2 linked regions of the Rhinolophus ferrumequinum genome follow. The protein of the gene in region 1 purifies or fractionates together with the protein of each later gene. This does not show direct contact. Links are inferred from orthologs where the notes say so. Each region holds a gene or a part of one and is shown on either strand. Other genes may lie near its edges.

Region 1 (15,799 bases):
TCCTCAACAAAATGTTACCAAATAGAATCCAACAATGTATAAAAAGAATTATTACTATGACCAAGAAGGATTTATCTTAAGTACGCAAGGCTGGTTCAACATTTGAAAATCAACTAATCCATCATGTCAACAGGCTAAAGAAGAAAAAGAAACATGATCATATTAACAGATGCAGAGAAAGCATTTGACAAAATCGAACACTCATTCATGATTTTAAAAAGTCTTGGCCAACTATCCTTAACTTGATTAAGAATATTTACAAAAACCTACAGTTAAGCCAACAAAGTTTGTGGTCATTTGTTATGGCAGCTTCAGGAAACTAATACAGGACTTCAGGGGCAAGGTGACTAATCCAAGGTTTACAGTTATTTTACCTGGTATACCAAATTGCTTTTATCAGCTATAAGAGCAGACTTTGACAGACCAATAACAGAAGATATGCAAGTGATAATGCCTTGTACTTACAAAGTCATTTTCAAAAGCCTTCACATTCACTATTTTATTTGATCCTTGTAACAGCTCAATGATGAAGGCAGAGCTGGTGGTGGTGTAAGGAAAGGCCTGGACCAAACTTGGGAACCCTGACTCGGTCAAGACTTCTTTCTCTTTCGCTGTAGTGTTCTCATTACTCTCATGAATACTCAAGAGGGTAAGGAGGAAGAAAATCCCATTAATTGAACTGCCTAGATGTCTGGGGCTTCCATGTACATTATTCCATTAATCTTTGTAACAGTAACAAACAAGCATAATTATCACTATTTTACAGATTGAGGTACAAAGCTGCTAAATCACTTTTCTAATGATTCAGAGCCAAAAAATGGAAGGATTGGATTCAAATCCTGCATTATGTGACTCCAGAGTCTGTACTCTATCCACTCACCATACCACTTCTATTACACTGGGCGAGAAGCTTGGCCAATCTTCAGGCTCGTGTTGGCCAATAGCCCATTTTCCATGAAATATTCCCTCTGGCACAGACACAGGCATGGGCAACAGGAGAATCCTGGGTGAGCACCATTTCCTGCCCCTCATCTCTATCATCTGTGACAAACACCACGCCATTCCCTACAGCTATGTGGAGCCGTTCCCTACAGCTATCCTGAGGTAAAGGAGGACCCCATGTCTGTGGAAAACTGCCTTTCCCAAACAATCTCAAGTGGGCTGTACAATGAGGCCATTTCCTACTCTTAAACAGGAGGGTGTAACATCTCCCTAAGACTTGCTACTCTTTTTCCTGATACTTTATGGCAAGAAGAGGCAAAGTGTCCTGCCTGAAGGTGCCTGGGGCTGGGCTGCCCCTGAGCATCTTGGCTTCCCTGCCAATGACTGTCCTCATCATGGCATCTGACCAGAGGTTCCCATAACATGAGCCAACCCCACAAAGAAGGATCACTGAGAGGAAAGCCAGACCACCTGGCCACTTGGAACCCATGATGAGCACATTTATCTGGATAAGTAAAACAAACAACAAACAAACAAACAACCCCCCCCACACACACACACACACAAATGAAAATACAAAATTTCCCCAAACTCTGAAACATCTCCTAGGAGACCTGGTTACAGAGCCTAAAATTGGTCTGGGGAAAGCACTGAGAAAAACACCCTGGGGTCAGCCCTGCTGGGTGAGATGAGGAAGTCCACAGGGACAGGTGTCTGACACAGGGGCTGAGCAGACCAGTCAACCAGACAGCCTTGTTGTGGGATGAGTTTGTAGGGGTTGAGGGGAGACAGAGAAGAAAACTAGACTATGAAGTGACTCTAGCTCAGAACTAGGCCCAGGGTGTACTCAACATCTTTACCCAACATCATGCCATCAAGTGACCTTCGTGAACAGATGGATTTGAGTAACCCAGACCCAGGGAAGGGAGTTGGGGGCATGCATGGCCCAGTGTGGCCTGTGAAGATGCCTACTGACAGTGCCTTGCCTTCACCAAGATTCCCACCTCAGTGCTTCCTCCAGGGTTCAGATCCAGTTCACAGCACAGAAGTGGAGAGGTTGAGAAGAGATTCCATGGCATCTGTAATCTGAGGATTTTCACCCCAAACTCTTTGTCAATTCCACTTATGCTCCTGCTGTCCTTCTAGATCTTGGAACAAATGTGTGGGGATCTTTCCCCTTCTGGGGTCTTCCCTAGATTGACCCTGAACTTCCCGTTTCCCTGCAGTCTCCAGAGCTCTTTGAGAAATATTCTTGGTAGGGTTGTGGGGTTGCAGAGGAGGCGAGGGGTGCTTCTTAGTACCCCTCAAATTACCCTATATAGCATCCATGTAGTTTGCTAGCCTGCTTTCTATTGGCATAAGCTGCTAGAGAGACAGAAATGCCCGTACCATTCCACTCCTAGGAAGGAACAGGGTTTAGGAACCGGTTACAGTGGCTGTTGAGTCATCAGCCTCCAACCTTTTCTGTGCATCAAACATTGCCTCCCATAGTGCTGATCTACCTTCTTAGAGTAATAATTATGACAAAAATTTTCAAAGTATCCTAGAAATCCTGGACAACCACTGTCAGCCTGTTTGTCCAAACAAAACTTGAGCTATGGCCTTCTCTTTGGCAGTTCTAGAAGGCTCTTTGGCAAGTCCTCTGAACACTTTTCCTACAAAGGCAGATGAGGAGCAGGATTCATTCCTTTCTCTCTGAATAGTTTCTAACCAATCATCACTTCCCTGAGAGACAGAGACAGCTGGGGAAGTGGGAGCTGCATGCTCCATGAGGTCATTCAATGATCCTCTGAGATGCTTATGAACCAGGTATGGAGCCCAGAACAGGGATTCCTGCCCTATCACACCAATGAGGTGGGCTGACATGAAGTGAATCTAGGGGAGAGGGAAAAAGCTAAGATACTTGAGTAGTTTGGTAAACCAAGCTATAGACTAGAAAGCTTCAGTGAAAAATTCTAGCTTGGATCATTGGAGAAAGCAATAAATTGGGGGGGGGGGGGAGAGGGAAGGGAGGCCCCAAATGAAGCACATGGAGAAAGTCCAATAGCTTCCTCTTCTCTATTCACTTGCTTTCCCCAGCACTAACCATGAGAAAACCATTCCATTGGGTTAAAATATGACTCTAAACATCCTTTAATGATGTAATCATACAAGCATTAACGTAATTATCAACCGTGTGAATGACTTCTCAGATATCATTTTTAGTTAAGAGCAGGATATTTAGGAAGTGGGATTTTTAAATATTAGGGTTTCATCCCCTCTTTGCAAAATTGCAAATGTAATACAGCATTGAAGAAATTTTTAAAAAATAAAGCAAAACAATATTCCGTAGTTTTCTTTTCCTTTTTTTTTTTTTTTGTCACAACTGCTTTCAAGTTCTCAAATCTCCTCTAAATCTTTTTTTTAAGGCACTAGAGTAGACCGGTTCAGAACTCTGGCTCTATGGTCAGAGAGGCCTAGGTCTGTTATTTATAAATCATGAAATCTTGCAACCTTCGGCAAGTTATTTAATCTCTCTAAGCCTTTCTTTCCTCAGTAATAACAGTTAAGATGAGGAACCATCTCACAGTGTTGTTGGGAGAACTAAATGACATTAATCCAAGCAAGGTGTTCAGTGCAGTGCCTGTCATGTGGTAGTCATTTTGCATTTGGTGTCTACCATTTTCATGGTTTCCTAAAGGTAGGCATGAGTGATTAAATGATGAACCTCATTTAGCTGCATCTGGTGATGTACAGGAAGTAGTCAAGATTGAGGACTGTCCTAGGAGACCAGGAACAGAAAGCTTCAGGGACCCCTGATATGAACATCATTCTTGGGCTTCCCCTTAAGAGTCAACAATAGCTTTGTAGCATAAATTAAAGACAAAGCACATTATGGGCCATTAAGAACTTTCAGTAATTGAAGACAGAGTGTGGATTTTCTGCAATGAATATTTAAAAGCCCTGTAATAAAGGAATCAAAAATTCTCAGCAGACTATCACATTTCATAAAAGAAAAAAATATCAGTACATAAAACAGAACAGGAACAGTAAAAAAATATGAATCAGAACAGAAAATGTGAAACAGAATGAAAATATGAAGTGAACCCTTAACCACACTTGATTCAGTTTCGCAAAATCCACGTGTGAAGGGATTTGAAGTCAATATGAAAATCACACAGTACAGCAGTTACAGTGATTGTTTTAACTGTGACTGTATAAAATACCTATAAGGTTTTCATTCTGTAAGGTGGATTTGGTCACCTCAGTTTTTTCTTTTGCTGTATTATAAAATTTAAGTCAAAAAATGCCTCTGGGTATCATCATGAGTAGTGGGGTGAATTTCAATAATGATTATAGTCACGATACTGGTACTCAGGGAGAGGCTGTGGAAGCATCGCTCCTCACTGCACAGCGGCCTAAAAGAAGTATGTTCTTGCCTCAATAGGCTACTCATTCCATAAGCACATTTGTAACTATAATGACTGGTGTGCATACACTTCCATACTTTTAAAATTTAACGTAATACATAAAAATTTATTATTATATGCTGTTGTCTAGTTTTATGAGCAGAAATTTCTTAAAGAATATTGTGTTAATTATCTTGCCTTGAAAACAGAGCAAGTGCAGATCATGAGATAGTTTAAAATGTTAAGTTTTAGAAGGCATTTTATGGGGTAAAAGAGGTATAGACCATATCCAGAGACAGGCTTCCTTCTTCAGATTTACTGTTTCTAAATTTTGCTTTGTTAAGTAAGATAACAGAGCATGTCCCTTCTTAAGAAATTTTTCTAAGAGTAAATAAGTCAGTTAAGCAGAGGCCTCTAGTTCTGTTTTGTTGTTTTTAGGAGGGATGGCTCCCAGCTCCCAGTTCTGATGACTCAATCAGGATAAAGGCCATTAAAATGCTAAACCTTGGTCTCATTTGGGCCAAGGTTTGGGATATGAAATCCTGCATGCTCAGCTGGCACCCTGATACTCATCTGTCCTTCTCAGCTTTCGCTCCAGCTAGACCCTCCAACAGGCGTCTGCAGATATTCCCCCTGCATCTGCAGAGTGTCCACTCTTCCACTTGGGGAAGACTTCCATACTGGGATGGAGGACTAGGAGAAAGATAGATAATCATGTTGCTTCCTATGCTGCTTAGTTAGCTCTTTAAAATCCAAGAATTAACTTTAAGAGCCTGGGTTCTGAATTTGGTTTGCTCACACAAGTGTGTTAGGTCATGGAGGGGAAGAATATGAGATTTCTACAACAGAAACAGCTTATCTTTCCCATGAGCTCTGCAGCAGGTCTAGACCTTACAATTATTATCCCCAATTCACAGATGAGGAAACTGAGGTTTAGAGAGTTAAATAATTTACCTGAAGTCACACAGTAAATAAGTAGCAGGGACAACACTGGAATATAAACTTTACCACGTCCTGCTACACTGGCCTTGAATACATGCGCCTATGTAGCAAAGCCATTGTCAGAGCCCCTCATATCCAGGGGCAAGAAGTAGAGACCAGGGGAAGAGAACAGCTGTGGTGCTTCGCATTCATTCTATTACATCCTTTCTGGGCTCCACGCCCCACCTAATCCATTCATGATTAAGTATCTATGACTCTTTACTTTGCTATTTCTTGTCCAGCTTTCTTGTCTAGCTTCTTCTTAGGAGCTGCCTCCATTTTGACCTTTGACTCTCTCTTTCTGCCCTTCCCTCTGTCTCATTTCCATCAGCCCTTTGAGATCTCTAACTCCCGGGCCAACTCTAGCCACTGGCCCAGCCAGGTCTGTGATTGCTGCCTTGCTGGCTTTTGCAGCTGCCAGTATTCTACGAAGACCCATCCTGAGCCTGCCCTAAGCGTGGTCTTGCTGTCCTTGTCCTGAATTTCACATTGAAGCCCCACAGGCCCTGATACTTGCACTGTCTGTTCTCAGAAATCTCTTGTAGGACCTTAAATACTTGACCAAACTACTGCTCAGCTCTAATTCTTCCTCTAAGGATTTATGTGTGTGTGACAGCTTGTACTACCATCCAAACACCTGAGGGTTCAAGTTTGACTTTATGCTAATGAATTTTTTTCTAATTTCAGAAGTATATGTAGCCAAGGGCTCATGGAGTCAGAAAAATATGAATTAGAACCACAGAGGTTTCACTCAGTACTTGTATCAGGTAGGACAATTCAGTTTTGGTGAAACGTAGTTTTCTTATCTATAAAATAGTGTATTACAGGTTACTTGTATAGTGGATGGCATGACATGCAGCTCAGATCTCAGAACAGCATAGCGGTCTCGCCCCAGTTGCTGGATGCTTTGGTGACTAACAACTCTCAGCTGAGTCCTTCTTCAGCAGCTGCCCTCAGACAGTTCCTTCCATGAGGGCCACCCACATCTAATGACTGGTAAGCTGGTTAATGAAAGGATATAAAAGTCCAGTCACTTTGCCTCAACTAGGAGCAACCCTTAACGGGTATCACAGTTCCAGAGCTCCTTGTGGAGTCAGCTAGGCCTTTGTTGCAACTGTATTGGGTACAACTTCTCCCTCTGCTCAATCCTACATGTTTTACTTCCCACAGGCATTGATTCTACAAGTACTTCCCAGTGAACTTCCTGCACATGCATCTTCATCTCAGAGTCTATCTTGGGGGGAATCTGACCTGAGAGATCTCATGTATTTTTTTGAGGGTTAAAGCAACATAGTGTATATAAAGTACAGTATATGATATAGCCTGGGCAGTCAGTATTTTCTAGTTCCCTTCTCTTCCTTGTTGTTTTGTCTTTCATTCATTCCTAAGAATACCGGACCTACTAAACCTAGGCCTCTGACAGGAGGCAATGTTCCTCCTCCCACCTGATCAAAACTTTTCACATACAAGTAGTTAAATATATCCTAGGATAGTTGTTCATTCTATTGATAGGATTCACCAAAAGTTTTAAGCAGGTAAGTGACCTGATCAAATTTCTTCTTTAGAAAGATTATTTTGGGGGCAGCTCGTTGGCTCAGTTGGTTAGAGCGCGGTGCTCATAACACCAACATCATAAATTCGATTCCCACCTGTGCCAGTGAACTGCACCCTCTACAACCAGGATGAGAACAATAGCTTGACTTGGAGCTGAGCTGCCCATGGGCAGCCGGTTGGCTCAGTTGGTTAGATGTGTGAGCTCTTAACACAAGGTTGCTGGTTTGTTTCCCACATGGGCCAGTGAGCTGCGCCCTCCACACCTAGATTGAAAACAACGGCTTGACTTGGAGCTGATAGGTCCTGGAAAAACAAACTGTTCCCCAAAAAAAGATTATTTTGGCCACATTGTGGGAGAGATTTAGGTAAAACTAGAGGCTGGGAGATGATTAGAAGAAATGATAGTCTCCACTGAGGAAGTGGTAATTAGGTGGGAGAGAAAGAGATCCATTGAAGACTTATTTCATATGTGGATTTGGCAGCGTTTTGCAACTGATTGGATGTGCGGTATGAAGGAGAGAGGCCTATATACAAAGGCCTTTGGACTTATGGTATAGCCTCCAGGCATATAGCAATGCCATTCTCTGTGATAGGAAGTATAGGAGGTAGAGAAATTTGAAACAAAATTGGGAGCAAGGGTGTGAGATTAGTTTTTGGTTTTGGAATATGTTTATTTGGCATATTTATGGTACATCCAGATGGAGATTTCCAAGTACTACTTGATTATATAGAGCTGAATTTCAGACAAGTGGTATAATCTGGAGAAAATGAAAAACAAAAAAATCTTAGAAGCCACCTCTCTAACTCCCTCATCTCACCCTCAGAAAGCTGAGACTTAGAGGTTAACACCTCTGAGGGAATTGCCAGAGGCTACCTGAAACAGTTTTTGTGAAGCCATGACCAGAAACCAGGTCTCTTGGGTTTTAGGTCAGTATACCTATCCCTTGACTGACTTTCATTTTGCTCTATTTATATTCATGTTTCCCCAATCTAACAATACCTGACATACAGTAGGTGTTAAAAATGTTTGTGGAATGAACATACAAATTACAACCATTCTTTGAGGTAGGGCTGTCCTCTCCTCTCTACATCATCACTGAAATTATATCTCCGCAGCATCTTGGAAATCATCAGACCCAGAGAAGTACTGTTTAGCCTCCAAATTTGCATTTACTCAGGTATTTCCCAATACCTCTCTACATACTCTGACAGCAAAACGTCTGTTGTGCAGATCTCATCCAAGGGCAGTCTTTGTGCTGAGTCCACACACCTGAATGGGAAGATTAATAAAAGCAAGAAGAATAGAAAGAAGGTATTATTTAGGACACAGAGATCATATAATCAATTCCTTCTTATTTTACTCTTGAGAAGCTTAGGTTAAGAGGTCTCTAAACCTAATTTGACTGTCTTGATTCAGTCAAATTAAAGTCCTAAGCCTAGGAGAAAGGGGGGACAGTATAAGACAGAAGAAGCCAACTAATACTTATTGAGTATTTACTGCATACCAGACCTTGTGCTGGATGATTTACTGAGGCTATTTTATTTAATCCTGATTGAAAACATCATCCACTTTTTCATTACGCTAAGTGAAACAAGTCAGACAAAGAAGACCAATACCATATGATCTCACTTACATGTGGAATCTAAAGAATAGAATAAATAAGCAAACTAATCAGAAACAGTCTTAGAGATATAGAGAAAAAACTGAGGGTTGCTAGATGTGGGGGGGATGAGGGAGAAGCTGAGGGGATTAGGAAGCACCAATTGGTAACCTCAAGATGGCCACGGGGATATGAAAAACAGTTTGGGGAATATAATCGATAATGTAAAGATTTTGTAGGGTGTCAGATGGCACATGTCTTATTAGAGAGACCACTTCATGGATGGTGTAGGTGCCTGACGACTGCAATGTACACCTGAAGATGAAGCCGAATAATAATGAATATATATATATCACAGGATGTGGAGTATGGCATAGGGAATAGAGTCAATGGAATCGTAAGCACTATATATGATGTCAGAGGGGTAGTAGATTGGGGGAGTGGGGCTATCACTTTGTGAGGGGTGTAGATGTCTAACTATTACATTGTTTTGTGCACCTGAAACAGAAAAGAAAAAAGATCATCCACTTCTTTCATATGGAAAACTGAGACTAGACAGTTTACTTTTCTAAAACTGGTAATTGGTGGGTTTGAAACTCAAGCTCAAGACTGTCTGGCTCCAAAGATTATTCTCTTTCCCTTATATCATGCAGCCTTCCAGAGGTTTCCATTGTGGTTCCAGATGTTAGGTATAAGCTTGAAGACCAAATATGCTCATTCCAGTGCTTAATATGGGTGCCAACAAGCCCTTCGATGTTGTCATCTTAGCAGGCCATTCAAAATTCAGTGGTCTAGGGTTTGCAAGAATCCAGGAGACCACATGGTCAAGCCTCAGAGAGGTTATCAGCAAGTCCCAAAGGAAGGAGAAAGCATCTTTGACTTCCAGCCTCAAGTCTGCTGGGAATTTGTTACGTGTACTTGGGCATGTCACTTTCCTTTCTTGGTCTTCCAAGATTGAAAAAAATATGGGTATCATCATTATTGCCACCCTTATAGAGTTCCAGAGTGCCTGAAGGCAAACCACTTATGAGTGCAGATCAAATAATAGTGCTTGGTCTCCGAAAATCAAGTTTTAATGCTATTAGGTTTTTGCAAAAGTAATTGGTTTTTGCAATTATTTTTAACCTTTTAAACCACAACTACTTTTGCACCAAACTAATATTGATACAGCTAATTCTATAATAGGATATGAAGTTGTAAGAAAAACTGACAAAATGATGGAGGGGTATGTGCGAAAGAAAAAAATAAGTACCAGAAAAAATAATAAAATAGAAAAAAAAAGAAAAAAAAATATGGGGAAATGCCAATTTTTGTGGGCTTCCCTGCTGATGATTTCCAAACTTTCTCTGTAATAATCATCTCTATTACATAGGGGATGGAAAGAGGTTATATATGGGGGAGGGAGAAAGACTCATCCCTAAGAAGTGGTTTCGGGGCTTTGGAGAAGCAACAATTGGTTTGAATCTTGACACATGAGTAGGAGTTTGTTAGGCAGACAAGGAGAAGGAGGGATGATTCCAGGAAGTGCAAAAGCTTGAGCAAAAGCACTGGGTGAGTTTGGGGAACTGCAAGTAGTTCAGGAAGGTTGCAGCATTTGCTTCAAGGGAGGGGCCAACCTAGAAATTAGGCAGGAAAAATCCACAGAAGCTGAGTCACACAGGGATCAGTAGTAGCCCTCAGGCCATCTAAGGAGCCCACCTTTGAAGATTCTAAGCATGGAAATGTCACAAACCTGTATTTGAAAAAAGATCCTTCTGCTCTGTATTCCTGCCCTCTGCAGGAGTATAGCACAACGGAGAAAGGTTGCCTGGGAACTGGAATGGAAAGATATTTGTGGTTCAGAACCCTGCAGAGCCACAGCCAACCTATAGCCTCTACTTATTACCGTGTTTCCCCGAAAATAAGACCTAGCTGGACCATCAGCTCTAATGTGTCTTTTGGAGCAAAAATCAATTTAAGACCCGGTCTTATTTTAATATAAGACCGGGTCTTATATAATATAAGACCAGGTGTTATATAATATAAGACTGACCAGGTGTTATATAATATAAGACTGGGTCTCATATTGATATTTGCTCCAAAAGACGCATTAGAGCTGATGGTCCAACTAGGTCTTATTTTCGGGGAAACACGGTAATAAGTAGAGGCTGTAGGTAGTTATTCATGGAAACTTTCTTCTCTTCTTGATTGATTCAACAGAAAACTAAGAAGAGAACTGTTATCTACCAACCTCAGAAAGCTGCAAATTTGATCAATTGCCTCTAGTTGTTTTTGACAAATATCCTCAGGGAAAAGGCTTTCACACTGTGTGATTTCCACTCATCCAATAAAGAAAGGCTTGCAAGTGGGGTCCTTCACGTAACCACTACATACACAGTTCTCTGGGAATGAGGTTTTAAAGGAGCCTCAACCCCTTCTTACCCCTCCAGTGTCTGCCAGGCTGTTGGTTTTCACCATGATTGTAGGCTGTGGGTTTTAAATGCAAGAGAGAGGCTAGAGAACGTGGGATGGGACTAGGGCAAGATAAAATGCCACAAAGCTCACTGTTCTTACTGGGATTCAGACATTTTTCTTAAATAAACACTCCCTGAATTGCTGTAAGCCTTTGGTTAATTTCTAGAATTCTGGAAAAGCTGATTCTGCTTTTTTTGTTTTCATTTGTTTGTTTGTTTGTTTTTTAGTTTTCTCATTGCTTTTATAGATGAGAGGTCCTTATTTTGCCATTTTTGCTACCATTTACTGTGTGTGTGTAAAATTCTCTTTGTTGAGTTAAGGGAATTCTCACCTATTAGGTTGATTAAAATAATTGTCATAATTTTTCTACATTTTTCTTACTTATTGAAGTGATTGTATGCTTCCCCCCTTTAATTAGCCAATGTAATTAGTTACATAAATAGATTTTTAAAACCTAAACTATCTGTGCATTCCTGGGATAAACCCTATGATAATCTTATTATGTTAATGAATTCAGTTTGGTAATATTTTATTTAGAATTTCTGTCCTCAAGTGAGGTTGGTCCATAACATAGGGAACTAAAAGAAGAATAGCCATCATTTAGACACTGAAGTGAGGTGTATCCATGGCATGACTTCTATGTGCAAGAGTTGGCTATAACTTTTAGATGGTTCCTACTGGGGAGTAGGTAAATCTATTTGAGGCTACATGCAGTAAATCAGAATTAGAAATAGATAAGTTTTAGAGACCTTGGGAAAAAAATTGCCTTAAGCAAGATACATGTTTATTATTGTCTCAACTGAAAAAAGATAAGAGGTAGGCAGTTCAGTTTGGTATGGTGATTCCTCAGATATCTCTAGGAATTCTGGGATACCTCTAGGAAATGGTAATTCTATTATCCTTAATTTGTGGCCTTTGTCCTCATATCCAAATCGCTACTGAAGCTCCGTCCATCCATTTTTGTCCCAGGCAGCAGGATAAAGGAAGAAATGGAAAATAACTTCCCATCTATTCCCAGAAATCCCACACAATTTCTGCTTATTAGCAATGGCTTAAAATTAGCAACATGTAAAGGAGTTGGAAAATGCAGACTAGATGGATGGCAAAATGTCCAACTAAATATCAGGATTTGTTAATTTGAGAAAAAGAGAAGATAAATATTTATTTCATAAGCAATTAGAAGTCTCTGCCACCCAGAGAATGGTTTGATCATGTAAGAGAGTTCATCTTTATAATCAGATAGATGGGAATAATGTATGTAGGTGAATGTGTGTGTGTGCTTGTGTGCACATGTGCTTGGCAGTCAAGGAGAATGAGAAGGACACCTACCAATGTATGTGCTCATCTTGTTTTCTCTGAGAACAGTGTTACAGTAGACCTCATCCCTTGCATTTATTAAAAATTAATCATACGTTTCTTGATCTGGATGCTAATTACAAAGGTGTGTTTACTTTGTAGAAATTTACCATGCACTTTTCAGTACATTCCAATAAAGAAAGATATTCCAATAAATATTGTAGTATTCCAATAAAGAAAGATAATGATAAAGGTGGCCGTGAGATAATACTGGCTTTTAAGATTTTGTTTCAAATTCTTCCCTAGATTTTTCCATTTTAGCCAGATCACTTTGAACCATTATTCTCTCTCATTTATATAGACATATATAATTATTTAATAAATAAATTATATTTATCTTACTATCATATAGAAACACATAATAAAATTTGTATAAGTATGTACATTTATCAGGATCATTTCTCAGGCCCATGGGCCCACATCTAAAGCCTTGCTTGATATTGCATTATACTAATTATTTCAAATTTAGAAAAAAATTAATGAAATATAACCAAATTAAAATCTGGAATTTTTCAAGAAGACATTTCAAATTTCACAATTTGCTACCTCGCCTCCTTATCCTGCAGAAAGTTCACATAGAACCACTCCTATCAACACCTGTAACTTCTTTGGAAGTTTCCATACATCAGTAAGAGCAATCTTTCCCAACACAAACCTAGCCAGGCACCTTCCCTGCTGAAGGCCCATCAATGGCTTGTCAGTGTCCTTAGGATGAAATTCCCAGGACCCTGCATGACATGGCCCCCAAACCCCACCAGTCTCATATCTTGCCATGTTTTCTCTAGTTTTCCCAGACACACTGGTCTTCTCTTAGTCCCAATCTCAGGAGTGGCAAGCTTTTCCTCCTTTTCCTGAATTAGGGTTTCCTGAATCCTGTTTTGTGTCTTTGGTGCTCATGCAAGTCAGGAGGAGGTGGGAGGTGCTGACCTAGGGATCTGTTCAATGCTACCAGCACCTATCTTTGACTCTACTTAGAAATTCTTAAGAGGTTGGGCTGATTCTCCTCCAGCCTCACCTCTCCAGAGCCCTCACAAAGGATTAGAGAGGGGTTACTTGCCCTTAACAGAAAAACTCCTGACTTTCCAGTTTTTCTCAGAAAAAGAACACCCAACCCTGCCATGAATGTGTATAAAGTTCTTTACTGAATTGTACAGAAGATCTCAAAAGCCCAGGGGACTTTAGGAGGAAAAGTGGTTATAGGAATTTGCATATGAAACAGATTGCCAAGAGTCTGGAAAACAACTGGAGCTGATTCATCTTTACCGGGAACACTCACAATTTGCCTATTAAATCTTGCTACCTCAGTGCCAATGTTCAGCTTTTCTCTTGATTCTTCAAGTTACTCCCAAACCCTTCAGTGAAATTCTCCCCCACATTTTTTGTTTGGGTAGTTTGCATAAATCAGCTGATACAGGAAGGCAGTTTCTATCCTTTCAATCCTTTCTCATCTTTTGCAAACACAAATGTTCTGGCTCTGGTCTAATGCTGATTGAAATTCTCCTTTGCTCAAAGTTGATTTTGGAGTGGGAAAAGCTAAACTCTAGTCTCAAGTGTGAAAGAGAAAATGGGTCCACTCCATTCTAACTGAGTTTCCCTACTAGTGAAATTTTGCTGCTGAATTTCTCACTAGTTTTCCTAAGAAATAAGCAGGCTTCAGTCATATTAGGGAAAAGAGATTTTTCTCATTGATCTGACCCTGACTCTTGTGAAATTCAAGAATTATTATAAGTAACATTTTATTCTTTGAGAACTGGTTTATTTTTAAAGAGCCACCACCCAAGGTGGCTCTCTATCTGCCATCTAGAAATGTGGCAATCACTTCCTTTAGATACTTTTTTATTCACACCTCTCTAGCAACCAGGTTGTTTTTTTCTTCCAGAGCACCCCTGCTTCATCCTTTTCCTCTTCCTTTCTTTTTGAATACAATTTTTTTGTTTTCATTTTTATCTACTTTTTGTATAAGTCATAATTCACATGGATCAAATATACAGTGAAAGGTCACCCTCTACCTCCTCTTTTCCTCTTTCTTGAAGGCTCCACCACACACACTCCCCTGATTTATTTAATACCTATTCATTTTCAGTCTCTGATTCCAAAGGGAAGTTCTCTCTGACCCTCAAACCCAGATCCAATCTTCCTGATTTACATTCACTCAGTCCTCACTAGCTCTTTAAGGGAGCAGTTGTCATAGTTGACACCTGTAGCATTGTCATAATTGAAATTAAATTACTAAATTTCCTTATGGCTCTCTTGCAGACTAGATCATAATCTGCACGAAGGCAAGAACTGTATGTGTCTTTCTCAGTGCTGAATCTAGAATGGTGTTTAACTAATAATAGCTGCTTAATACATATAAACAGGTTTGTTTTTTTTTTTTAATAGTATGAAGTTGGTTAGTTGGGAGCTAACATAAAAGAATGCTCTTTCTTTCCTACTCACATCAGCACTATATCAAATCTGCCTTCCATCACTTAAGGATGTTTTGGGAAAATCCCTCAGTTTCATTTTTATCACTTCTAGTAATTTTACAGTACAGTTCAATGTAAAATTCCCCTTTAACCTCTTAACAAGCTCAAGCTTGTCTCATGGTCCAAAAATCTATAATAGGGAGGGAGGTATGGTTTAATCTTTCGCCTATTTTATCTCATCTAGTTCCAGCTTCTCAAGTGGTTTAGGGCCGGGAGGAGAGGGCCAAACTATTTCTGTTACCTGGATGCTGTTGATTTTCTCTGTTCCCCTAATACTGATCCACTGTTGATGCCTTCTCTGAATACTGGCTCTTTCATGGAGCATAGGTTTGAGTGTTTTGGGGACCACAGTAAGGTTGGTGGGGTTGGGGAGATCTCCACTAAAGAGTGTCAATGTCGGAAATGTTCTCTGGCTTGGCTTCTCCTGACCCTCCTCCCACTCAGCTTCCGCTGATGATGTACCATCCAACCTCTTGCGGCTGGGATCTGCTTATCTGGTGGCCAGGTGGTAAGACAACTGAAGCCTGGCTACCATCTGCAGTGTCCTCTGTGGAAACTCCTATATCCTTGCCATATCAAACAATGGGTGTGCAGGCTGTACTCTCACTCCAATACCATGTTTCTACCTTTGGGAAGATCAAAAGATCCACTGCCCAACCAGGGAGAAAGACATTAGTCTTCACTTCTTTTGTATTCCTTGAATCTCTCAAGTGGTGCTTTTGGAACCCCTTTCATCTAGCACTATGGAAAGGGGATCTCATTCATGAGGAAGAGAAGGAAAAGCCACAGGTCTCTCCCAACTCTAACAATTTTGATTCTGATGATTTTCTCCTCTCTCCCTAGTGTTCTATTTATATAGAATGGGGGTGAAGAGTGCTGGGGTTATCGCTGGAGTAGCAAAATCAGTTTGGGTACCCCTTACTAAGCCTAGAGGTAGTGCTATCCCTGACTTATTTGTAGCTCTTTTGAGAATGTGAAGTCTCTTTTTCCTAGCTCTAAATTTGAGGCAGTGGGGAAAGTCCCATCAAGAATCCCTTTACAGATATCTATGTGA
Region 2 (15,747 bases), on another chromosome or scaffold:
ACAAAATCCTCACAGTATTACTCAAGCTTCAACTAAAACTCCGACTTACAGTCAGTCTCTCCTCCAAAACTTACCATTTTGCGAAGTTTAACCACTCGGGTGCCACCATTCTTGTCGCCACCAACTGGTTTTGTGACAGTAGCAAGAACCTTCTCCTTCTTTTTCTTTTCAATCTATCAGGACACAAATGTCACAAAAAGTCAGAGGCAGACAAAAAATGGAAGGTGAAGACATAACGGCGAGCGGTTCCTTGCCCCCCTTACCCTGGATTTAGCTGCTGAGTACTTCCTCTTGTACATGGCCTTTCGGGAATACATGGCTGAGCGGGAATACCTGCCGATTCCTCTGACCAGGACAGGGTTTCGGCTGCAGTGCGGCTTCCCCTTCTTAGGCGTTTTGGCCTTGAGGTTAGCCTTCTTAACCTTGCCGCCAGCATCAGCCTTCTTGGCTTCAGGTTTCTTCTCCTTCGTGTCCGGCTTCCCGGCTTTTTCACCCGCCATCTATCAATACACGTATTTTAAGAAAGGCATTCAACAATTATCACGTAACAAAACACTAACTGTACAAAAATGGCTCTCCCAGACAAGCCCTCACCCTCTTTTCATCCCTCCCCTTATAATCTATAGGCCCTCCTCTAAACCCCAAACACGTGCAAACACCCTCATGGTTAATTTGGGGGTTGTCTCCCCAATACACTATGAAGTTTTTGAGGCTTGGAAGATATCTTAACACTTTTTAGGTGTTTGCTAAACATTTAGTGGTCTAAAGTCCTAATTCCATTTTTCCTGTTTTGATAATTGGAAGTCTTAAGACACAGAGCCTTACAAATCTCCACAGTTAGGAAGCAGAGAGGCTGGAATTTGAAACCGGTTGCTTCTAGGCCTTTGCTCTCTTCACATTGCCTACTTACTGTCTCATTCAAGAAATTCGGCTTAGGAGGCGAGAACATACAACTAGCCCAAACTCAGGCCAGACAGAAAAAAAGCCCAAAGCCCAAGAGGCGACTTCCGGTCGTGGACGTAGGGGAGTCCGGAAAACAGCAATTGGCCTCAGCCTCAAATCCCAACGTGGCTGAGACAAGCTCAGCGGCGTCTTCTGGAAGCGGGGCTAGATATTCCAGAGCGGGCATCGTCCCTGCGGTTCCACTGGCCTGTTACGGATCCCCGGAGGGGCCCCGTTTCTCCAGCCCAGGAGGGTAGCGACCAGCCGGAACCCCGAAGCCTCTTGGGCATTCCATGTCACCCACTTCGTGCCCCACAGCAAACCCAAGCGACAGAAATGAAGCGTCTGGGAAGCCTCTCAGTTGGCCGCGAGCATGTCCGACCCTTACAGGTGTCGACTTGATACCCTCCAGGTTCGGATGGAGAAGGATTGGGGTTCTGAAACCAAGTCTTGCAGAGAAGCGCCACCATTCTTACCTTGCAAGTTGGGAAAGAGAACTAAGGCCCCGGCTTCCGGTCTATAAGCAATCATGGGAGGAGTCGAGTCTCACATCCTTCCGGATCTGAGGCATCATGGGAGATGTAGGTTTTTCTCTTTTGAAAGTACTGTATTTTGGAGAGCTATTTTTCCTTATAAAAAGCGAAAGGGAAGAACATTTTGTCTGATAACGTTTCATTTTATAAACCAGTAAAATTTTCAAAGTTCTTTTGGGAACCAACATAAAGTTGCAACCTTTTATTTTGCTTACTAAGGACATTAGAAAACACTACTATTTTCAATCTAAGAAAATAGATGGATGAAGGATCTAATCCCCAATAAATTGAAATCTTTCCTATGAAAGGCTAGTTGGGAAACTTACACGGACATTTTCTCCACAGTTGCCTTAATGCCTATATTCCCTAATCAGACCATAGACCATGCTCAATGGTGGAGTGTCAGAAAAGCTAGAGTTTAAAATGAATAAAATATACTCCTCAAAGAACACACATTCAAGGGAAAAACAAACAGAAAAATGAAAAATTGTAAGTTATTTCTTCTGGGAGATTTGGGATCGTTTTGAGGTGCGTTTTGTGTAGGATTTGGAAGGATAATTACAAATCTGACAGATGAAAGTGTCAGATGCAAGAGGCACGGAGGCATGTAAGAGCATGCTTGCCCAGCACATCTCCAAGCATTTCTGGCCACTTTGTAGTCTGTTTCTTTATTTCTAAAATGAGGGTAACAATAATCCCTACCTCACAGGGTTTTAGGGAAGATTAAGTGAGTTAATATAAAGATAATCATCAAGAACAATATCTGATGCGTGGTAAGTGCCAGATAAATGTTAGTTCTTGTTATCACCACCACCACCACCACCATCAACATCATAGTTGTTAATGAGATCTTGCTATGTGCCAAGTATTCTGCTAAAGTTTATGCACCAGGGATAATAAGAGAAATATTGTATGTTATGCACCTAGAACTGTGCTGTGTGCCTTGCTTTATCTCATTCAATCCTTTCAACAACTTGTGAAGGCTACTATTGTGAGGAATCTGGGCCTGAAAGAGGTTAAGTTGTTCACAACATGGATCTGATTTCAAAGCGTGTACTCTTAACCATCAGTCTGTAAAGACTGAAGAGATGACTAATGAAGATGAATAAGAGAGATCTTTGCTCATGTTAGAATTAAAAATAAGAACAATAATTTTAAAAAATAAACACGGGGAGGGAGGTTGTCATTGTGTGAGGGATATAAATGATAAATGTCTATTACATTGTTTTGTGCACCGGAAACTACTAAAAAAAAAGTTAAATAAATAAAATAAAATAAAAAATAAAAAATAAAATAAAAAAATAAACAACATAGTATATCTTATACATTTTTACTGCATCAAAGTCTTTAAGGAAATAGGTACACTTTGTGATAGGTTTTGGCTTGAATTTTCCATTCTCTTCCACTTTCTTGTTGTGCTGGCTAGAGCTTGTCACCTCAATTTTCTTCAGGTTCAAACCACCTGCTTTGTGGCTATGTCCCTGGAAATCATGTAGCCCTTTTCTGGTTCTGGTTGACTGAGGATGCAAATACAGGGGTCAGATACCTCTGAAGGCCTCAGGAATTTCAGTGAAACCCTTCAGACTACAGTGAATGCAGAGTTGCCATGCCTGCTAAAACATGAGGCTTCTAAACTTGTCTGCCTTCCATACATATTAAAGATGAATGTGATTTGAAAAGACTGTATTTTATTCCAGTTCAAGATTATTCACTATCCGGGGCAGACCGATGGCTCAGCTGGTTAGAGCGCAAGCTCTCAACAACAAGGTTGCCGGTTCAATTCCCACATGGGATGGTGGGCTGCGTCCCCTACAACTAAAGCTTGAAAACTTGGAGCTGAGCTGTGCCCTCCACAACTAGACTGAAGGACAACGACTTGGAGCTGATGGGCCCTGGAGACACACCCTGTTTCCCAATATTCCCCAATAAAATAAAATAAAAACTTATTCACTGTCCAGACATGTAATATTCTCAAGGACGAGTTTGGGCACTGCTCTTTTTTGAGAATGGGAATGTCAGCAGCTTTATTTGTTTAGCTTTCTGAGCAAAGCACCTCTTGATATAGCTACTTCAGAAAATGTGTAAGAATGAATGAAGTGCAGAATTGCCTACTTGAACCCCTCAAAAATGCTGACAATCTCAGAGACTTTCACCTAGTAAATGCCACAAAGTATCTGTGAAATGACCTGTCATTGAAATAAAAACATCAATGTACTCCCTCTTGTGTTATGTTGTGGTATTGTCAAACTTACCATTCATTAATTGGGCAAAATATAATCAATATACTGTAGGTATTAGTTATAAAGTAAACAGTAGGTGCTTGGTTCTGCCATATATAAAATACTCTTAACTTTGTGCAGTTCTTTATTAATTATAAAGCAGACATTTTTGCAGACACTAAATCATTGTATTATAAATCTCAAAGCAACGTCCAGGTGAGGTATTAGTTTAAGGTGAAAACTGAGGCTCAATTACAATAAACGACTTATCTAGGGTCACACATGTGCTTACATTGACTCATGTCTCTTTGTGTCACAGAAAAACAGAAACCCAGTAGGCAGTTGTGCTGCAGAAAGGGTACTGTCCTTGTAACCGGGGATTCATTTGCTATATGATCTTATAAGTCTCTGCACATGAGTTTTCTTACTCATAAAACGGGGATGATATTGGCAATATTGATAATACTTTCTTAAATGTTAATGTTAAGGTCAACATGGTGATTCACTCACTCAATAATTTTCTCACGAAAAAGTTCATGGCAGCACTATAGTAGTACAAAACAAAACAAAGCCCTTGAAATAATTTGAATGTCCATCAACACAGGAATTGACTAAACAATGGACATCCATACTATGGAATATTATGCAGGTATGAAAATGAATGACTTTCATCCAAGGGTGCTGTATAGCACGGTAGCCAGTAGCCAAATGTAGCTACTGAGCACTGGAAAAGTAGCCAGTTCACATTGAGATGTGTCGTGAGTGTAAAACACACACTGGACTTTAAAAGCACAAGAAAAAAAAGAATATAAAATATCTCATTAATAATTGTTTATATTTACTGGTTATATGTTGAATGATAATATTTTGATATATTGGGTTAAATAAACATATTATTCAAATTAATTTCACCAGTTTCTTTTTACTTTTGAAATGTGAATATTAGAAACTTTAAAATTACACGTATATTTGCTCACATTATATTTGCATTGGACAATCAGTGCTGATTTAGCTGGATGTCCATTATATATTAAGAGAAAACATTATATCACAAAGATATATATTTGTATCTATTTCTCTATATATATTTTATCTATTTCTATATATATCTGTATGTACATACATACATATACACACATACACAAATGTATGTATATATAAATATATACATATTACAAACCTATAAATATATACACATATTATGAATTCATTAAAAAAATAGAAAAAAATCCCTACATATGTCATGTATGTGAGTGACTGTGTGTGGGATCTGTGTGTGTGTGTGTGTGTGTGTGTGTGTGTAGGTATGGAAAAAAGTGTGGTAGGATACACACCAAATCATTAACCGTGCGGGGGTTGCCATAGGGAGGCTGTAGCCACTAAGGAGCCGGGGAAATTACTGCTCTTATTTGGATTGTTGCAACACACTTGTATTGCTTTTGTAGCTAAGAAAGAAATAAAAATAAAACATCTGTAAATGAATTTCTTAAGCTTGTTATATGCCAGGTACTACTGTGTAGGCTTTGGGCATATGAAGATAATGACTGTTTTAAGAGGAGCTCATAAACTAGGGAAAGAGGAAAAAGACTCAATCAACAACGACCTTGAACTATGTTGGGGGCTGTGAGAGGATAAACAGGCAGCCCCAAGGCGTAGTGGGGAGGGGGTCTCTATTTTATTTTTAGGATGTGGTCAAGGGGTGTGGACAGCGAATGTTTTGTGGAGGAGCTGATTGAGTTGGAACTGAATCTTGCTTGACACTTAGTTTTCCAGATGAAGAAGAGTTTGAAGGGTATTCCAGACAGAAGAAACTAACTTCTGGAAGACAGAGATGCAAGAAAGAGCAAGAGGCCTTTGAAAACGGTCAGATTATGCGAAAGAGTGGGGGTAAATGAAACTGTGTGGGTATATTCCATATCTAGAAAGGTTTTTAGTCTAATGGGAGGATTTTAATTTAGTGCTAAAGACTTTGAACCTCCCTCATAGAAGCAAAGAATGACATGATTAGATTTGTATGCTAGAAAGATCCTTCTTGCTGCAGAGTGTACAAAATATAGGAAAGACTGGGGAAGCAATGGTTTCTGTGCTCAAAGAGCTTAGTTTACTTTGGAAGAGATATATGATAAACAGCATTTATCAAGTGCATACTTTGCCAGGCACTGTTCTGGGTACGGCAGATCCTAAAATAACGTCATTTCGTTCACTGTCCTTTCCTAACGTTCCTGAGAATAAAAAGTCCATTCCCAGTCACGGCCACTGTCTGTGTGTCGTTTTCACGTTCTCCCCATGTCTGCGTGGGTTTTCTAGAGGTAGTCTGGTTTCCTCCCACATCCCACAGATGTGCATATTAAGTGATCTGGCCTGTCTCCATTGGCCCATTCTGAGGGGTTGTAGGGGTGTGTGTGTGTGTGTGTGTGTGTGTGTGTGTGTGTGTGTGTGTGATGTGCCCTGCACCCTGTGATGGAAGGGCCTCCTGTCTAAGGTTGGTTCCCACTTTGCACACTGAGCTGCCAGGATAGGCTTCAGCTGTGCTCAGCCCTGACCTGGAATAAGTGGGTTACAAAATAATGACCACACTTGTTTTTATTAATCTTTTTTTAAATGTATGTATAGCTCACATTTATTTCAATGTTTAATATTAGAAGTATTTTGGGTCTTTATTTAGAAGTGTGGAGATGTTTTTGTGACCAGAAATATTCTCTCGGAACTTAACTCTTGTTTCTATCAATTAGCCTATGATAAAATTGGTTTTGTTATAGGTCATTTGTCTTCAAGTCGCAGTTTCCAAGAATGAATTGACGACATTAAGTGAGGACTTACTGTACTCCACAAACATTAACTTTTTTTTTTTTTTAAACATTAACTCTTTTATTCTTTGGAACCTATCCTATGGGGTGTGTGGTATTTAGAGTCTCTCCATTTTACAGAGAAGGAAACTGAGACAGAGTCAAGTAACCTAACATAGGACACCCAGGCAGACAGGCTGAGCTTTGAAGATCACGAATTTAATCCCCCGTATTATACTGTGTCTTCGAGTTATAATGGAGTACGTTTGGTTCTAAGATAGGAAAGGTGTCTTGGGGACCACATAACCTGGTCTGGGAGAATCACAGCGGGCTTCCTAACCCAGCGGAGATGACTTCGAGTCTGAGATTTGAGGCATAAACTAGAGTTCCTGGGGAAGCGGGGTCAGAAAGAACCCTCCAGGGAGAGGGAGCATCTCAGCTGGGAGGGGAAATGAAAGTCATTCAGCACGACCGGGACATGGGGAATGAGGTGAGTGGTGGGGACAGGTAGGGCTGGTGAAGTGAGCAGGGATTGGATCAGGAGGGTGTTAAATTTTTTTTTGTTGTTCCCTTTTTGCTACATCCTAAAAGCAGTGAGAAGCCTTTGAAGTACTCCAAGTTAGGGAGTGACTAGATTTGCATTTTAGATTACTGTCGCTATTATGTGGAGAATGGATGGGACAGGGAAAGCCTGCAGGCCTGAGATCAATTAGGATGTTGTCTGAGTTGTCCAGGTGGCTAAGATTTAGGAAGAATATGGAAAGAAACAGGTTGAGCAACTTCTTGCTGAATGCTATTACCTAAATTAAATTTGCATATATTAAAGACAATTTTTTTTGTAAGGAGCTCATTAATGCTGAAGCAGTTAGCACACTGTGTGAAAGTTCTTTGTATAGGAGTGAAATGGGAATCATTGGGAGGATTTTGGAGCTATCTAATGTGGGTTGAATTCACTCACTAGATCTGTGGCCTTTAATGAGTCACGTGCATTCATTAGGTTAAAAACTCGACCTTCTTGTGGTCCGAATTACCATCACCTACAGCCTTGAATACCACAGTATTTTAGTATTCCGGTCTTTCCGTTACTGGCCTTGCCCTCTTGATCCAATTCTTCACAGGGTGCCCAAAGTAATACTTCAAAAACACATTATATTCCTCCTCTGCCGAAACATCTTTCAAGGGCTCTCCATTTCGCCGTTCATTTAAATAACCTATAGGATCCTCTACCATTTCTCTTTCTCATCTCCTGCTACTCTCCTTTCACCACCAACTCTCCCTCCGGCTGGAGACTTCTCTATTGTTTTTCTTTCTTTTTTTTTTTTTTTAAATTTATTTTTAATTTATTGAGGTGACAATTGTTAGTATAATTACATAGATTTCAGGTGTGCAATTCTGTATCACATCATCCATAAGTCACACTGTGTGTTCACCACCCAGAGTCAGCTCCCCTTCCATCACCATACATTTGATCCCCCTCACCCTCATCCCCCCCCTCTATTGTTTTTCAATAGGAGGCAGCCTCCTACCTTAGATGCTTGAAATGCTACTCCCCTCACTTATTTCCTCTGACGGCTTCAGCATCTGATCTTTACTGGAATCCTCAGTGAAGCCTTCCCTAAAACTCTGTTTCAAATGATACTAGAAAGGGCTATTTGGAAAAGACAAGAAGGAAGGATGGGAATATTACCATGAGTATTTTACTTATCTTGATTACCGTAGCTCCTCCCAGAACACAGGAATTTTTGTCTTTTCACTTCCCTGTTGTATCCCCCTAGTCTAAAACAGTGCCTAGCAGATAGAAAACCCTCAACATATGTTTACTGACATTGATAATACAGCTAACAATTACAAAACACTAAACAGGCCAGGCCTCGCTCTAAGCATTTTACATGTTCAATCCTCACAATAATCCCACGAAGAAAATACAATGACTATCTTTACCTTACAGATACGAAGGGATGGAGGAAACTGAGGCTCAGAGAAATTAAGCAACTTTCCCAAGGTTATACAGCTCGTTAAGGGGAGCGGCGATCTGAGGAATGAAATGAATGAAATGCGATTTGGCAGTCAGCGCAGGAATGAAAATTGACACCGTGGGAACGGAAACTATCGGTTTGGGGCCGCGCGGACAACACTGAGCGCGCAGCTCACGCCCCGCAGCCGAGGTCTAAAGGAGGACGTGAAGGTACTTTGGGAACTGCGAGGCGGCGGCTCCAACGAGCCACCACCGACCTGCCATTACCAGCCGCGGCTGGGTGTCCCGCCGCCTGGAAGCAGGAAGTGGCAGGGGGCGTCGCGCGGGGTGACGTCACTATGGCGCCGGCGGCGAAGGGCGGGGGCGAAGGAGGAGCGAACCGGGCTTGGGGGGCGGCTGCACAGTCTCCGGGATCCCCAGGCCTGGAGGGGGGTCTGCGCGCGGCCGGCTGGCTCTGCCCCGCGTCCGGTCCCGAGCGGGCCTCCCTCGGGCCATCCCGATGTGACCAGGCCCAGCGGAGCCTGAGCGAGGAGCGGGTCCGTCGCGGAGCCGGAGGGCGGGAGGAACATGACATCGCGGAGGTGAGGAGCCCGGAGGGGCCCGGCGCGGGCCTCGGCCCGGCCCCCGTCGTGTTCGGTCAGCCTCGCCCGGGAGGGGGCGCGTCGGGCGGACTTCGGTCGTCCGCCTGGGGTCGGGGGACAGGCTCCCCCCCAAACTCCTCGCCTTCCCGGGGCCGGGGTCCGGTCCCACCTCGCTCCCACCCCTCGGGTCTCCATTCATTTCCTGCCTCCCGGAGTTCCGGCTCCCGCAGCCTAGGGGATGCCCGTCGGGACGGGGGCAGGTAGAGCGCCGCGGGAACCGCGGACGCCAGCGGCCCGGCTCGGCGCCGCATTCCTGACCCATTGCCTCATGAGAATTGCCTCATGGTGATTCCGAAATAACCCGGCTCACTTGGGGAGGCTCCTTGGGCCCGCGACGCGGGAGGGAAGAGGAGGGATTTGCTCCGGGCCGGGTCCCCGACGGTGGAGCTGCTCGAGGTCACTCTGCCTGTCGCGCGCATTTGGGGGCTTCACTCGGGACCCCTGACCCCTTTGTAGGCGTCTTTGCATCTCCTTTTCCCCCCACCCCACCCTTCACGTGCCAGAAATGGAAAAACTGACTGTATCTGCAGCTATTAGAAGTATTTCCTTCCTCTGCAATATTCGCTTTGAGAGATGGGAGGGAAGGGAGTTGTATCTCTTCTAGTTATTTAATCCTTCACCGCAACCCTAAAAGTCAGGTAACATTAATGACCTTCTTTTTACGGATGTGGAAACTGAGGCTCCGAAGTAACAAGCTAGTAAATGACAGGATTTGTACCCGAGAGTCAGAAGGAAGATTAGTGAATTAATGAGGTCCTTTGAAAGTTCAGGGTAATAATACTAATAGCTAACATTTATTAAGCTGTTACTGTAAGCCAAACATTTAATCTTCACTATAACCCTACGAGGTAGGTACTATTATCCCCTTTCTAAAGATGGATAAACTGAGTTTCAGAAGTTAGACAACTTGCTTAAGGTCACTCAACCAACAAATGGTAGAGCCAGAATCTCCACTATTAATCACTATGTTGCTATTATTTTATAACTGTTGCTAATCATTTTTAGGTCTTAATTTTGTTATTAAGCAGTAGGGTGATCTATTGTTTTCAGATGGTGATCTGCTTTTTTGTATAGTCACTCATTATATACCATTCACATATAAGACTCATTGTTTAGTCTTTTCTTTGGTTGCCCTGTTGTGGTCACTGTCTTAGACATTTGAAAAACTGTTTAGCCTTTTGGTGTTATTTGAGTGAGAGACTTCAAAAGACTAGAATGTCGTCTCAAAATACACCTGCACAATACTTATTCATAGATCTGGAAGGAAAAGAGTGAGAAAAAAAGAAAACTGGAAACTTTGGAAGTGAGTGACTTGGACAGGTCTGTTGGCAAGTGCTTACAGATCTGGGTAATACATAATTGCATTTCAACAGGGCAGTGTATAGCCTCAAATGTAATTCTTTAGGGAGCTTTTAAATAAAACAGTTGTCTATTCTTTAATCTGTCAAATAGTCATTGAGCCTTTTGTTCCTTGTGTCTGCTCTTCCAGACAAGTAAGGATCTGCTGCTTTTGGAGACAAAAGATGGGGCTGGGGCTGGGTAAGGGGTAGGGTAGTAATAGACCCTACATTGTCCAGCTTGTTAGTCTAGAAGCAGGGAAGTGTGGGGATAAGCAACCGGCAAGTGGTAAACATGACAGTTTGAAATGGAGTAATTCCTCCTCTCCTCCAGCCCTCCCTGTCTCACCTATTATAACAAAGAAATGTGTGCCACCAAAAAAGTCAAGTTATGAACATAACACACATAATTGGGAATTATTATTATTTTTCAGGTTGTAGGTCTGTTTTATTATTTTTAACCAGCTTTATTGAGGTATAAATGACATGCAATACATTACATATATTTAAGTGTACAATTTGATAAGTTTTGATGTATGTATATACCCGTGAAACCATCACCACAATCAAGATAAGAAACATGTCCAGCACTGCTTGAGATGGTTCCTCATGTCCTTTATAATCCCTTATTTTTCAGGCAACCACTGCTCTGCTCTGCTCTGTGTCCCTATACATTAGTTTGCATTTCCTAGAATTTTATATCAATGGAATTTTAAGGCTGGCATCTTATGCTCAGCATAATTATGTTGAGATTTATCCATGGTGTAGTATATGTCAAATAGTTCATTCCTCTTTATTGCTTAGTAATACTCCATTGCATGGATGTACTGCCAATTGTTTATCCATCCACCTGTTGATGGACATTTGCATTGTTTCCAGAGTTTCGCTATCACAAGTAAAGCTGCTCTGAATGTTCAGGTACAAGTGTTTGTATAGATATACGCTTTCTTTTCTTTTCTGTAAACCTATCAGTGGTATGGCTGGATCATATAGTAGATGTATTTTTAACTTTTTCCCAAATTGCAACACTGTTTTACATAGTGGTTACACCATGTGCATTCCCACCGCTCATGGTGTGGTCAATTTTTAAATTTTAGCCATTGTAGTGGGTGTGTCATGGTATCTCATTTTCATTGTAGTTTTAATATGTATTTTTCCTGGGGACTAATCATGTAGACCATCTTTTCATGTGCTTATTTACCGTCTGTATATCTTCTTTGGTGACATATCTAGTATTTGATACAATATTTTCCCTCTTTTTTATTTAGTTGTTTGTTTTATTATTGAAATTTGAGAGTTCTTAATTCTGGATACTAGTCCTTTATCGGAATTGCAAATATTTTCTTTTAGTCTGTGGCTTGTCTTTTCTTTCTTTTTTCTTTTTTTTAACTAAAAGTTCAAAGTTTTAATCTGAATTTTTCTGTCTTTTCATTTTTTTAAGTGTCTTTTGAAGAACAGAGATTTTTAATTTGGACGAAGTCCAGTTTACCAGTTTTTTTTAATGGATAATGCTTTTACTGTCATTCCTAAGAAATCTTTGCTTAACCCAAGGTCTCAAATGTTTTCTCCAAGTTTTATAGTTTTAGGTTTCTGATCCACTTTGAGTTAATTTTTGTGTATGGTATGAGGTGTAGATACATATTCTCTTTTTGACATATGGATGCCCAATTGTTTCAGCAAGATTTGTTGAAAAGACCATTCTTCTTTATTGAATTTGCACCTTTGTTGAAAATCAGTTGTCCGTTTATATGTGGGTCCATTTCTGGACTCTATTCTGTTCCACTGATCCGTCTGAGAAAAGGATACTTTTCTCAGTACCACATGGTCTTGATTCTTGTAGCTTTATAACAAGTCTTGAAATCAGATAGTGTTAGTCTTCCACCTTTGTTCTTCTTTTTCAAATTATTTTTAACCTCAGTATTCATTCATTCAACCAGTAGTTATCGAACCAGGCAGGCTAAAAAGCAGTAAGATGGGCAAAGATTGCTGTTCTTATGGCTGAGAGAGTAGACAAACACATGAATAAATAAGACAATTTTAGGTAATAAGTTATAACTGCTGGGAGGGAAAAAAACCGAATGGGGAGAATGTGGTTAGTTTTTTTTTTGTTTTTGTTTTTTAAGATTTTATTGGGGAAGGGGAACAGGACTTTATTGGGGATCAGTGTGTACTTCCAGGCCTTTTTTTTTTTTCCAAGTCAAGTTGTTGTCCTTTCAGTCTTAGTTGTGGAGGGCGCAGCTCAGCTCCAGGTCCAGTTGCCGTTTTCTAGTTGCAGGGGGCACAGCCCACCATCCCTTGCGGGAATTGAGGAATCGAACTGGCAGCCTTGTGGTTAAGAGCCCACTGGCCCATGTGGGAATCGAACCGGCAGCCTCCGGAGTTAGGAGCATGGAGCTCCAAGAACGTGGTTAGTTTTGATAAGGGATTTGGGAAAAGTCTCTCTGAAGAGGTGATCATATGAGCCAACTCCTGAATGACAAGTACTATTCTGAGTTTTGTTTTGCTTCATTATCAAAATAATTATTTTTGGTTCATGTGTTAGGGTTTAGATTTTGTATGCATTCGGTAATTAAAATGTCAGTGTATTCAGTGTACTCATACTTCTCTACATCATAGGTAGGGAAAGGAAGGCATTTAATTAAATGACACTTCTCCAGGTAATTTAGCGGTGGGAGTACTGAATTTAGATTTTGAGATTGCTTGTCTGCCTTCCTCTGCCTTATTCAGCTGGCGAAACTGGCTGTATTTTCCGTCTTCCTTCAGCCAATGGCACATCCTTCACATTTGCTTTTGTTCCTCTGAAAGATACTGTACGATGACTTGAGCTGAGGACAGGCAATGTAGCTTATTCTGAGACTCTTGGCTTTTGGTTTATCTATTACAGGTCAAGTACATTTTGTCCCAGGCTCTCCCTGGTGGTCATGTTTGTTTATCTCCTGTGGGAGTAAATAAACTTGCCTTGCTGAAAAATGACAGTTCTATGTCTTTCCAGTTGAAACTGGATGTCTTTATTAATGTCATGTCCCAATGTGAGCTTGGGTTTTTGGCCAGAGCTGCTCAAGTGCAGGGGCCACGGCTAAGGTTACTTATCCTTCTCGCATATGGTCAATGTGGAGACTGTTAGTGAGTCGCATCAAGATCCTGGAAAAACAGAGCCAACTCATGTTTGTATTTGTTACTCTACAGAACAATAGAGGACACTGTGCTTATTCCTCTTTCCCTTGGGGAGCACAGACAGCGCTTGCCATTCAATGCTGACCTTTTTAAGGAAAGGAAAGGCAAATAAGGAAAGGAAAGGCTGATAGGAAAAAAAATGGATTTGTTTGCAGGATCGTGTTGGAGGAGAACTCTAGGGATACTCTGGGCCGCCAGAAAGACGGACAAGTGGGTCCCAGAGCAAATTAAGCCTGAAACATCCCTGGAGGCAAACATGACAAAACTGAAGCCATCCTACTTCCGGTACCTCGTGAGAAAGCAGGGCTTTTGGGAAAAGACAATAATGCTGGGAAAAATAGAAGGCAGCAGGAAAGGAGGAGGACCAAGTGTGAGATGGATGGACTCCCTAAAAGAAGCCGTAGGCACGTGCCTACAGGAGCCGAGCAGGGCTGCTGAGGACAGGGCATTGTGGACATCAGTCATTTCACAGGGTCGCCAGGAGTTGGCGTCCACTCAACAACACGTAATACATAAAGGCGAATACTGATGTTTGACAGGTTCTGTGGGAGTTATAGACTGCCACCAAGGGTTTGAGACCCCTGAAATGGATTCAAACACCCCAAAATGCTGCCCAGTTCATTACTGAGTGTTGGAAGCTTGTGTGCATTCAGTAGACTGGTATGTTCAATGGTCCTTGGCAACACTGAAATATGAAAGAAGCAGTTTGTGTTTGCAAAGAGCGTTGAATTTAGAGAGGCAGACAGACTTGTACGCCAGCCTCAAATGAGTTTGGTGAAGGTAGTACCAAACTGAAATGGAAATCTGTCACTATAAAATGTACTGTTTAAAGTATATATATATATGCTCGTACCTGATACACACATATGTACACATTTATATCCATCTATACACACATGCGATGCGTTTATTTACAAGATAATGGACTATAGATCCACGTCTTCATCATCCCATTGCCACTCTCGTAATGAAACAGGGATCCATTCAAGAACTGTTTGTCGTGGGATTGCCAGGTACCAGGCAACCTGCTAAGGCATTGGGGTGTTCCCGGTTTGAGGAAGCAGCAGGTGTGAAAGGGCTGCTTTGGGGGAAGTTTCTGGACTGCTCGAAGAACGGAAGGGAGCATGAGGAGGCGCTCTGGGCCTGGGGGCATTGGGGGGACGAGAATCCCCAGGGACTTGGAAGGCCCTCAGGGCCATGGAGAGGAGTTGGGGTTGTATTTTAAGAGCAACGCCAAACCATAGAAGGATGTGATCAGGGCAGTGGCATGAGCTGATCTGTTTAAAAATATCCCTCTGGCTCCTGTGAAGGAAGGACAGTCGGAGTCAGGAGTGGAGTCAGGGAGAGCAAACAAGCGAGAGAACGCTTTGAACTAGGGTAGAAGCCATTCATGGAAAGACTTTTGGAGGCAGTTTCCCTCTATTGCTGTGTCATCGGGGCTCAGATGCTGACCAATGAAACTCCACGAGAAGGTAGTGATTTATAAAGACATAGGGATCCACTACCATGAAAAAGCTGCCAGAACGTCTCTCTAGCCTCTGTTACTTAGAATGCTTGTCCCTATCGACTGCCTCCTCTCCATGTCTTATCCTTTTCCTATAGAATATTAAAATTTAATTAGAAAATGGAAAATTCTTATAATCTGCAGAAAGTACCAAACCATAAACTTTTTCCCCAAGGACAAAGATAATGATTTTTCTGGAGCAGAGGGATATACCCAGTATCACTTTACATTTAGGCAATAAACTGAAATTAGACTTTGGATCCCCAGTTTAAACTCCCTTTTTAGCATAGCAGTCTTGAGAATAAGTTCCTAAAATTGTTGGCCGGCTTGACTTTCCCCACATCGCTGGGGGAAAGGAAAGGGGTGCATAGATAAAACGAAATATTCAGCATCAGTGTATTCTCTTTTTGGTTCATCAGCACTTTTTTTTAAGACTCACTTGACATAAGTCAGTTCCCAGCCTCAGAGAGCTAAGCCTTTGCAGAATTTGCGTTCACCAGTGAGAGAATTCGATTTCTGGTGTGATTTCCCGGCAAATAGTTTGGCTTGCAGGCAGGGATTCTGTCTTTCGTTTCTTCCAGCCCCCTCAGCACAGGGCTCATGTGTTTGGGACATTTATTTTGTTTTTGACATTGA

Evidence for each region.
Region 2: the proteins of SLAMF1 (region 1) and PTPN11 purify together in Homo sapiens (affinity purification with western blotting; 3 studies listed by BioGRID and IntAct, with this or other methods). This does not show direct contact. The link is inferred for Rhinolophus ferrumequinum from reciprocal best matches to the Homo sapiens genes SLAMF1 and PTPN11.

What each region holds. Positions count from the first base shown.
Region 1 is NC_046305.1:27,926,227-27,942,025, reverse strand, and holds the start of SLAMF1 (signaling lymphocytic activation molecule), read right to left. Parts: upstream 8,114-15,799; 5' UTR 8,071-8,113; intron 1-8,070.
Region 2 is NC_046308.1:7,480,701-7,496,447, forward strand, and holds the start of PTPN11 (tyrosine-protein phosphatase non-receptor type 11), read left to right. Parts: upstream 1-8,813; 5' UTR 8,814-9,022; coding exon 9,023-9,036; intron 9,037-15,747. Other genes in the region: RPL6 (60S ribosomal protein L6), read right to left, coding at 75-173, 264-500. UniProt on the Homo sapiens protein: Acts downstream of various receptor and cytoplasmic protein tyrosine kinases to participate in the signal transduction from the cell surface to the nucleus. Positively regulates MAPK signal transduction pathway. Dephosphorylates GAB1, ARHGAP35 and EGFR.